Linked DNA regions of Mus musculus. The protein of the gene in region 1 binds, or shares a complex with, the protein of each later gene. Links are inferred from orthologs where the notes say so. Each region holds a gene or a part of one and is shown in the gene's direction. Other genes may lie near its edges. The genes, in order: Mybl2, E2f4 and Lin52.

What was found.
Region 2: Mybl2 (region 1) and E2f4 share a complex: the UniProt entries of both Homo sapiens proteins name them as parts of the DREAM complex. The link is inferred for Mus musculus from reciprocal best matches to the Homo sapiens genes MYBL2 and E2F4.
Region 3: the proteins of Mybl2 (region 1) and Lin52 are in contact, whole or in part, in a crystal structure (PDB 6C48), measured with the Homo sapiens proteins. The link is inferred for Mus musculus from reciprocal best matches to the Homo sapiens genes MYBL2 and LIN52. Residues at the interface, in NP_002457.1 of Homo sapiens: Trp663, Val666, Ala667, Gly669, Thr671, Asp673, Gln674, Phe676, Lys680, Ala681, Gln683, Leu684; in NP_001019845.2 of Homo sapiens: Gln84, Ala87, Tyr88, Gly91, Leu92, Glu94, Ser95, Met98, Thr99, Lys102, Phe103, Leu107, Glu108, Lys109.

What each region holds. Positions count from the first base shown.
Region 1 is NC_000068.7:163,078,593-163,082,021, forward strand, and holds part of Mybl2 (myb-related protein B), read left to right. Parts: intron 1-1,001; coding exon 1,002-1,115; intron 1,116-2,125; coding exon 2,126-2,230; intron 2,231-3,429. UniProt on the Homo sapiens protein: Transcription factor involved in the regulation of cell survival, proliferation, and differentiation. Transactivates the expression of the CLU gene.
Region 2 is NC_000074.6:105,300,586-105,303,342, forward strand, and holds part of E2f4 (transcription factor E2F4), read left to right. Parts: coding exon 1-31; intron 32-667; coding exon 668-880; intron 881-2,757. UniProt on the Homo sapiens protein: Transcription activator that binds DNA cooperatively with DP proteins through the E2 recognition site, 5'-TTTC[CG]CGC-3' found in the promoter region of a number of genes whose products are involved in cell cycle regulation or in DNA replication.
Region 3 is NC_000078.6:84,454,479-84,458,131, forward strand, and holds part of Lin52 (protein lin-52 homolog), read left to right. Parts: intron 1-1,762; coding exon 1,763-1,837; intron 1,838-3,470; coding exon 3,471-3,508; intron 3,509-3,653.

The sequences.
Region 1 (3,429 bases):
GTTTTTTGGGGTTTTTTTTTAATTATTTATTTTTTGTATATGAGTACACTGTAGCTATCTTCAGACACACCAGAAGAGGACATCGGATGGTTGTGAGCCACCACGTGGTTGCTGGGAATTGAACTCAGGACCTCAGGAAGAGCAGTCAGTACTCTTAACCGCTGAGCCACCTCTCCAGCCCGGTTCTTTAGTTTTTTGATAGAACTTTTGTCTACGAAGCCCAGGATTTGGTGTTATGGTAAAAAAAAAATCATTGTGACCAAAAACAACGTAGGAACGATTGGGTTTATTACAGCTTACAGTTAAAGTCCGTCACCGAGGGAACCCAGGGCAGGAATCTGATGCAGAGGCCGTGGAGGAGTGTTGTATACTTGCTTGCTCTATATGGCTTGCTCAGTTGCTTTCTTATATACTCCTGGACCATCTGCCCAAGCGGGACACAGCCTACACTGGGCCCACCCATATCAGTCTCTAGTGAAGAAAGCACCCCCACAGATTTGCCTATAGCCCAGTCTCATTGGGAGATGGCTCTAGTTTGTATCAAGTTAATGGAAAACTAACCAACACACCTGGAATGTCCCTGAACTTGCCCAGGGCTCATTCCTCTGCCTTGGCATCACAGGTGCTGAGGTCATATAGAAGGTGCCGTCCAAAATTCCTGGGTTCAAGGGATGCTTCTGCCTCCACACTTGACTAGCCGGGACTTGGCATAAGTGTGGGCTCAAGAATCTGGACTCTTAATGACTGCCATGGTGTGGGTCGGGCTCTCGGTGTGAGCCTGAGTTTCTATTCTGGACATAACTGCTGCCCAGGACCATGGGTGCAGAGCTGCTCTGTGCATACATAGACCTTCAGGGTTAAGTAGGCTTCATCCATTTGTCTAAGGCAGGGCAGTTAATGGTTATGAGCAATGCACGTGAGATCATCATGCTCTCGTGGGCTCTCTTAGACCTATGCCGCCCGAGCGGGCCTCCTGCGCTCACCCTCGCCTCTGTCCACAGCCGCAGACTCCGCACCTGGAGGAGGACTTGAAGGAGGTGCTCCGTTCTGAGGCCGGCATGGAGCTCATCATTGAGGATGACATGAGGCCCGAGAAGCAGAAGAGAAAGCCTGGGGTAAGTGGCTGTGGGCTTGAGACCCTTACCTCCGCACGGGCAGTCTGCATAGAAAGTCAGACCTGAGGGAAGGCAGGAGGACCCATGAGATGCCTTACATCCTGGCTTCTCACCTGGGTCCTGCCGTACTTTGAATGATGCAGCCCTTCATCCAGCATTGTGACTGGGCATCCTGAAGTGAGCCCGACTGTGTGTGGCGGCTGTCGTCGTGGTCGGGCGAGAGGATGGAGAAAGGCATACAGCACACGCTTCATGGCCGTCTGAATCCCTGTGGAATGAGAGGCAGTAGACAGGACAGATCCTAGGGGTTTCTTTCAGGAGGTAGTCAGGGTGGGTGGCTCGGCCATGAAAGTAGCACAGGGTGTCATTGAGTGAGGCGTGACTGACAGGCTGCGGTGCAGGCCCCGGGCTCAGGTGAGCTTCCTTCCCGTTGTACTGTCTCTATCTAGCACTTGTAGCCACAGGTGGCGCTCGGACTCTCTCCGTGTTTCTGTGCTTTATTCTAGACTGCTCTAAGGAGGGATGATGGTTAAAGCTAGGCAGTGAGGCTAGGAAGAATCCCAGTGTCTGGCAGGGTAGGTCCCTCCTGGGTCAGAGTCTGATGTAGCTGAGGGCTCCTGGTCTTTCCGTATCCCTGGAGCAAGAGCTGCTAGCTAGGCTTTGAGAGCGGCACTTACAAAGTCCTGACTCTGACTGTAGTCACTGAGGTGGGGGCTCGGACTCTCTCCGTGTTTCTGTGCTTTATTCTAGACTGCTCTAAGGAGGGATGATGGTTAAAGCTAGGCAGTGAGGCTAGGAAGAATCCCAGTGTCTGGCAGGGTAGGTCCCTCCTGGGTCAGAGTCTGATGTAGCTGAGGGCTCCTGGTCTTTCCGTATCCCTGGAGCAAGAGCTGCTAGCTAGGCTTTGAGAGCGGCACTTACAAAGTCCTGACTCTGACTGTAGTCACTGAGGTGCTGGCCCTGGGGGCCTGACTGCCGATCCCGACGTCATTTGTCTTCCGAACCCTCAGCTGCGGCGAAGCCCTATCAAGAAGGTCCGCAAGTCTCTGGCTCTCGACATTATGGATGAAGATGGGAAGCTGATGTCCTCTACCATGCCCAAACCCCTGTCCTTGGTAAGGGGCTGACAGTGGCCGCCGGCCTCACAGGTCTTCAGGAACCTTCTGCCTTTGGAGCTGTCTAGTCATGGAGGGGACACTTGAGGTGGAGTGTCCACCAGCTGCGCTCAGTGTTGGGAAGATTGGTGGGAGGTGCTGGGCCTAGGCACCTGGCTTGAGCTCACTAAGCAGTCCTAATGTCTTTCCTGGGTTTTATTTGGCAGGAGTTATATGCCAGACTGCCATGGGCTCGTCCTTCTCACTGAGGTCAACCATGTGTGCCCCCAAGCACATCCTATGGCTGAGGCATAACCCCAAGTGGCTGCTGTCTGTCTGGTCTGTAGGTCAGCCTTGCTCTTCTGGGCATAGAAGTCACTGCCTTTAAGAGCCAGATGCGCCGGGCAATGGTGGCGCATCCCTTTTTAAACCCAGCACTTGGAAGGAAGAGGCAGGCGGATTTCTGAGTTCAAGGCCAGCCTGGTCTACAGAGTGAGTTCCAGGACAGCCAGGACTACACAGAGAAACCCTGTCTCCAAAAACAAACAAACAAGAGCAAAATGCTGTGAGGCTGGTCCCTTGCAGCTGATGGGATGTGGCCTGGTTTCACTAAACTGGTGACATGGCCGTTCTGTGATATAGTTAAGGGGGAGGTTTTTAGTACTTAATGAGAGCAGCCCTGAGGGGCATCTGGAGTCCAGGGCAGAGAGAGAAAGCTGACTGAACATGAACAGCAGGCTAGATGTAGCCAGGGGAGTGTGAGTGTGGGGAGAATGGCAGGTGAAGAAAGAGAAACCATGGTGAGCATGGCAGTGTCCTAAGGATGAGGAGCTGCGGGGAGGCCAGGGTGTGTGTGTTGCTGGGGGGGGGGGGGGGGGGCTGGAGTTTAGGGGAGGGGAGATAGGACTGGGATGCTTTGAACGCCTGTATGACAGGTACTTGAGATACCGAGGGAGCCTGGAGGCCATCCTAGACCGTAGATACAGATATGTATGGTACCTATTTGTCCCTTCTGCCTGAGGGACGGAGCTTCACAAGAAACCCTTCTGTAGGCCAGGCTGCGCTCTCTTGGACTTGGGATTGGAGTTTCCTCCAGCCCTGGCCCCAGTACAGGGAATAGTGGGGTCGGGGGAGCATGAATGAAGGATATGAATTGCTAAACATATCTTGCAAGTAGGGTTGTGTCCTGTGTCCTTCTAGAAAAGCGTTTGACCAGGGAA
Region 2 (2,757 bases), on another chromosome or scaffold:
GAGGTGGCATGCCAGACATCTGAGATTGCAGGTGAGACAGTGGTAAGGTGTGATGGGGTTTTGTGTTTTGGTTTTTGTTTGTTTGTTTGGTTGGTTGGTTTTGGTTTTTTTTTTTTTTTGGACTCCACAAGAAGCTTTCTGTGTGATGGCGTGCTGTGCTAAGAATTAGAAGTCCTTGAGTCCCCACTGAGCTTTCCCTGGTGTCACAGTGAATGTGCCCCTTTAAATTACTCTTTTCATTTATTATTATACATAAGTACACTGTAGCTGACTTCAGACACATCAGAAGAGGGCATGGTTGTGAGCCACCATGTGGTTGCTGGGATTTGAACTCAGGACCTCCGGAAGAGCAGTCAGTGCTCTTAACCACTGAGCCATCTCTCCAGCCCTGAATATGCCCTTTCTAACAAGGAAGCTTTGACTCTATAGGCAACATTACTAGGGCAGTTTATCCCAAATTGGACAGTGTCTGACGGATCCTGGTGACCCCATGAGTCTCCCTCCTCCAAGACTTGTGTTCTATAGTGATCTTTTCTAGATGTTTCTTGGTAACTAGTCTAAGTCTCCTTCGGTTTGGTTACCACACTGGTTGTCCTGGCCATAGGATCTAGCCTATGGCAGCTGTACAATCCAGTTCCTGACTGTGTGGTTTGGGATGTGGTTGCAGTGAGTGGTAGCCCTGGAACTGAGAACAAGGACAGTGGTGAAGTCAGCTCACTCCCACTGGGCCTGACAGCACTGGACACTCGGCCTCTGCAGTCCTCTGCACTGCTGGATAGTAGTAGCAGCAGCAGCAGCAGCAGCAGTAGCAGCAGCAGCAGTTCATCTGGACCCAACCCTTCTACCTCCTTTGAGCCCATCAAAGCAGACCCCACAGGCGGTGAGTACTTACTGAGAGGTGGGGGCTAGCAGGGAGAGTCTAGCCCTAGCCCATTGTTGTATCAAACACTTGGAGTTGGGAGTTCCTTTCCTGCTAAGCTCAGCTCTCTGCCAGCCAGAGAAGGATGTCTAATCTCAGGGTCAGTGCTGGTGCCTCTTGCTCCTTCCTGGGACTCCATTTCCCTCTGCTGCCACTTGGAACATCACTAATTGAGATTTGCTACTCTTTGTATTCACCTCACCTTTCTGTTTTCCTTTTTTTTTTTTTTAAAGATTTATTTATTATATGTAAGTACACTGTAGCTGTCTTCAGACACACCAGAAGAGGGCGTCAGATCTTGTTACGGATGGTTGTTAGCCACCATGTGGTTGCTGGGACTTGAACACTGGACCTTTGGAAGAGCAGTCGGGTACTCTTACCCACTGAGCCATCTCACCAGCCCCTGTTTTCCTTTCTTTGTGTGGATGCCTTTAAAATTAGGCCGTACCACAGTGGGGTAGCTCTGCTGCTGTTGGTGTAGTGCCTGGCCCAGCAGGTTTCTAAGGTCGAGATCTGGTGCTTTCTTGGTCTCTGCTGATGCTCTTTCCTCCTTTGTCTTTACTGTCAGCTCTTGGCTTTTCTACCTCACTGGCATCTGACAGTTCCTTAGTTATTGGTACTTACCATTTTATATCTGGGGTGGGCCTCAGCTCTGGGGAGCTGATAGTAGGTTTCAGCCTCTACATAGTGTAGCTCTGTTACCCAGTCTTCTATGTCTTGCATCTGTCTTCTGCACCTCTGAACTTAACCATCCTGCTTCCACTTTGCCTTTCAAGTTCTGAGTGGACTCTATCAGCTGGCTCTAGTCACCACCAGGCTTAAGACGTCTCTGTGTCCTCTCAGTTCTGGATCCCTCGGCTACCCACTTTACATGGGTTAGGTAAAGTCTGCGAAGCATCTCTTCTCATCCCTCTTAGATCCTCAGCACACCAGAAAACTATATGCCATTTTAATTTTAATTTATAGTCATCCTTTAGAACATTTTATCTAATCTATATCTACCTATCAGTAATTTCATATATTTATGCTTTTTTTTTTTTTTTTTGTCTGAGACAGGGTCTCTGTGTAGCTGTGGTTGTCCTGGAACTTGCTGTGTAGACCAGGCTGGCCTCTGCCTCGGGGATTGTGGGATTAAAAGATGTGTGCCACAGCCAGCTCTCTATATTTTGACCATTTACAAAATGACCCCCTTTGCCCTCCTAGTACTTCCTTCCTCTTCCATTCTCATGTTCTCATTCTAGTGAGCACTACATGTATGCACAGATCCAAAGACAATGACTCCCTCTTTCCCAGCTAGTCGGATGGCTTGATCTTGTGTAGGTAACCATAGAGGCTTGTGAGTTCATGAGTACAGTGACCATGTTAAATCCAGAAGATGGTCTTTCACAATGCTCTTCCCCATCCTGTGGCTTGTACAATCTTTCTTACTCTCTTTAGCAATATTCCCTGAACTTTAGGCAGAGCGCCCAACATAATCTCAGCAGTTTATCAGTTATGAGTTTCTGCATTGACTCCTGCCATTTTCTCTAAGCAACAAAGAAGCATAAAAATTGAGGAGGCAGTTTGGTAATGTGTGCATTTAACAAAGCAACAGCAGTAAGTTCCCCCTAGGGTCAACAATCTCTCTAGCCATGGTGTTTGACAAGGTTTACAGTATCAGTCTGGTAGGAATTACTTCCTGTGGAGCTGGCCTTAAAGACAAGGAAAGGGGTTGGTTGCCCTCATAAGTTACGCCACTACTGTACCAGGAGGCACATTGCCACATTGCCAGGTAGGTTGGTATTATATCGTGCATGGTCTATTGCCTGTTAACCCATTAAACCATCCTTTTCTTTCTT
Region 3 (3,653 bases), on another chromosome or scaffold:
AAAGCATCTCATGCTGTGGGAGGTCATAGCAGGGACACATAGAAGTGGGACGGTCTGGCAAAGGGAAGCTTGATAACAGTAGTTTCAATGCACTAGGGACTGAACTAAGAGTTTTATAGGTTAGAGGGTGTAGGTCCTGGGGAGATGATACATTGTAGGTAAGCAGCTAGCTTTGCAAATATGAGGACCTGAGTTGGAAGCCAGGCATGGTTGTACCACCAGCTCTGTGGGTGTGGGGAGGGTATGCCCAGAAACAGCTGGATCCTGAGAGCATGCTGGCCAGCTAGCTTCTTAGTGAGCCACTAATAGACAAAATAAAAACATTTAGCATCCTTTTTGGTGTTTATTGTCATATGCCTATTTGTAGACTTATTACATCCATATATGCATGTGTGCATGCACACACACACACAGAGTGTGAGGTGTGAGAGTAAGGACAACGGGATACCCAGGAGGGAGGCTATGAGTTTAAAGGGAGAGTTTGCATGTTTCTGTGTGTGTCTGCACTCAGACATGCATATGGATACTGGTGCATGTGTGTACATACATGTGGAGACTTGGTTAACATTAAGTATAGTTTCGCTCTTTCTCTCATTTGTTTACTTATTTTTATGAGACAGGGTTTCACTATGTAGCCCTGGCTGTCCTGGGTCTTACTTTGTGTACAGGCTGGCCTCAAACTCAAAGATCTACCTGCTTCTGCCTCCCTTGTGCTGGGATTAAAGTCATTCACCACCATCACACAGCAAAGTGCTCTTTTAATAAGTGAAAAGGGAGATAAATTCTAGATCAGGCTTGCTTGTTGGCTCTGAGTCTAAAATAGAAACTTCTGCTACAAGAAGACTGTCTGAAGTGCTTATTAAAGCTGAAGACAGTGGTCTACAGTCAAGATTATCTTTGTTGAGAGCAGTGACACTTAGCTGACTGTAACTGGAGACAAGTTGAAGAGTGTAGGAAGACAGGTGGGTTTGCTGACACTCTTCTTTACAAGGGGTTTTGCTGTAGTCTGGGCTGGTCTCTCAATGCTCCTGCCTTAGTCTCCCAAATGCTGGGATTATATGTGTCAATCACCATGTCCACCTGATACCCATTTAAAAAAAAGTTTATGTGTATAGGTATTTTGATTGCATGTATTTCTTTGTACTACATGTATGCTAATTGGAATTATGGACAGTTGTTAGCTGCATGAGGTGCTGCGGATTGAACATAGGACCTCTGGAAGAGCAATCCATGCTCTTAACCACTGAGCCCTGATTTACTTACTTACTTACTTTCTTTCTTTCTTTCTTTCTTTCTTTTTTTTTTTTTTTTTTTTTTTTTGGTTTTTCGAGACAGGGATTCTTTGTATAGCCCTGGCTGTCCTGGAGCTCACTTTGTAGACCAGGCTGGCCTTGAACTCAGAAATCCTCCTGCCTCTGCCTCCCGAGTGCTGGGATTAAAGGCGTATGCCACCCCGCCTGGCTGAGCCCTGACTTTCTTTTTCTTTTTCTTTTCTTTTTTTTTTTTTTTGTTTGTTTGTTTGTTTTTTTCTTTTGAGACCTGACTTTCTTAAACACTTATTTTAATAAAGTGGAAGTCTGAGTTTTGATGAGGGAGAATCAAATTTATTTGTATTACATCATGCCCCAATAGGGCTTCAGGGAATCAATAGTTGAGACCTCTGAACTTCTAATTGAGTGTTTCAGGCTATGTTCTTTGAGATTGAAATATAATAAAATGAGAATGAATGCATTTCTCATCCCATCTTGGTGTTTGGTTCTAGGGACGGATTTGGAAGCATCTTTGCTAAGTTTTGAGAAACTTGACCGTGCCTCACCAGATCTCTGGCCAGAACAGCGTGAGTTATGACTTTTCTCATAGTAGAATTGACGCAGGAGAGCCGGCGCTCCCTTGGGAGAATTTTATAGTGTTATCATGGATCTGATGACTAAAATTTTTATTTTGGTTTAAAGAGAAGAGATTGATGTACAGTAAAAATAGGGACTTAGTGGTTTAACTTTTCAGAACATTGCAAGAAGTGATAATGAGCTTTTAAACAAAATTATAGTTTTAAAACGATATATCTGAATTTCAGACAATACTGAGATGCACAAAGCATTTGTTCATCTCCTTTAGTGAAATAGTTAAATATTGTTTGTAATTTTATTACAGACTTGTTTGGACTTTTTTATACGTGTACAGATAAGCATATACATATGTATGTTATGTATTGTCTGCATGTATATCACACAGGAATTTTTGGTTTTCATAGTGATGATGTAATATGTATAGAGCTTTCAGCTTAACTTATTTCAACAGGAAATTTGATGGATCGTTCCATGTTGATCTTTGTAGGTCTGCTTCATTGTTTTATGTATATTACAGTGGACAGGTATATTCTAGCTTCTATATTCACATTCTATTTGGAAACCTAACTTACCTCATTTGTATTTCACAGGCAGTGTATCAGTGAGTATCCTTGCATATCTATCCTGTATGTAGAAGAGGATGACTGCCCATTTTCTCACTAGCCAGTGTCACTCCTCATTGTTATGTTTAACTTGCATTTCTTTTAGGTTAAATTATATTCATTATTGGGCTGAGGGAAGCAGCCACGTGCCATGACGCATGTGTGGAAATCAGAGGACAGCTGGTCCGAGTCAGTTCTGGCCTTTTACCATAAGCCTGAGACTCTACAGTTCAGGTTGTTGGCTTGGTGGCAAGTGCCTCTCTCCACTGAGCCCCAGCTTGTATTTCTTAGTTAACAGAATTGAACATTATTTCCCTCTACCTTTGTATTTTAGCTGCTTTGCTTTTTAATGTGGTAGTATCCATGAGGCATTTGCATAAATAAACCAAACAGGACAACTGAAAAGAATGTTTAGCTTATTTATATTACTTATTTATTAGTAGCCCTGGGGTTCAAACCAAGGTCATGTGCATGCTAGAAAAGCACTCTATCCTTGGTCTAAATCGCTAGCTCTGGAGAGGGGGTTAAAACTGAGGCGAGAGATAGCTTACTGTTCTCAGGCCCAGTCCTGGCCCTTTAAAGCGGGAGGCAGTGGTTTCTCAGAGAAGCTTCTTCCGCCCCTTCGCTCCCATGAGAGCTTATTTGTTTGTTCTTGTCTTCCTGTGACACCTGATGCTTTTCTGAAGTGCTTAAGTGATGCTGATAATATATGCTCTGTCTTTTTCTAGAGTGTAAGCTACTTGAAGGCAAGATTTGGTTTTCAGTTTTTTAGGTTTTTGGTTTGTCCGTTTGTGTTTTGTTCTTTTCAGACAAGGTTTCTTTGTGTAGCCATGGCTGGCCTGGAACTTGCTCTATAGCCCAGAGTGGCCTTGAACTCACAGAGATCCCCCTGTGTCAGCCTCCTGAGTGCTGGGATTAAAGGTGTGCACCACCACCATCACCCAGCATTTCTTTATTATTTAAGTCCTCAGTGCCTAAACACAAATGCTTCCTACATGAGTAACTTTTTTTTCTTTTTTAGTACCAGGTGTCGCTGAATTTGCAGCTTCTTTCAAAAGTGTAAGTAAAACAACTTCTGTCTGTGGAAGTTTATCCAAAGTTTGCTCTTGGGTAAAAGGCTCAAATCTTTATTTTCAAGACTAGTGTCATAGTCTTCTAATCCTTTTTTGACTTTAGACTTTTAAATATGTTTAGATTATCAGAC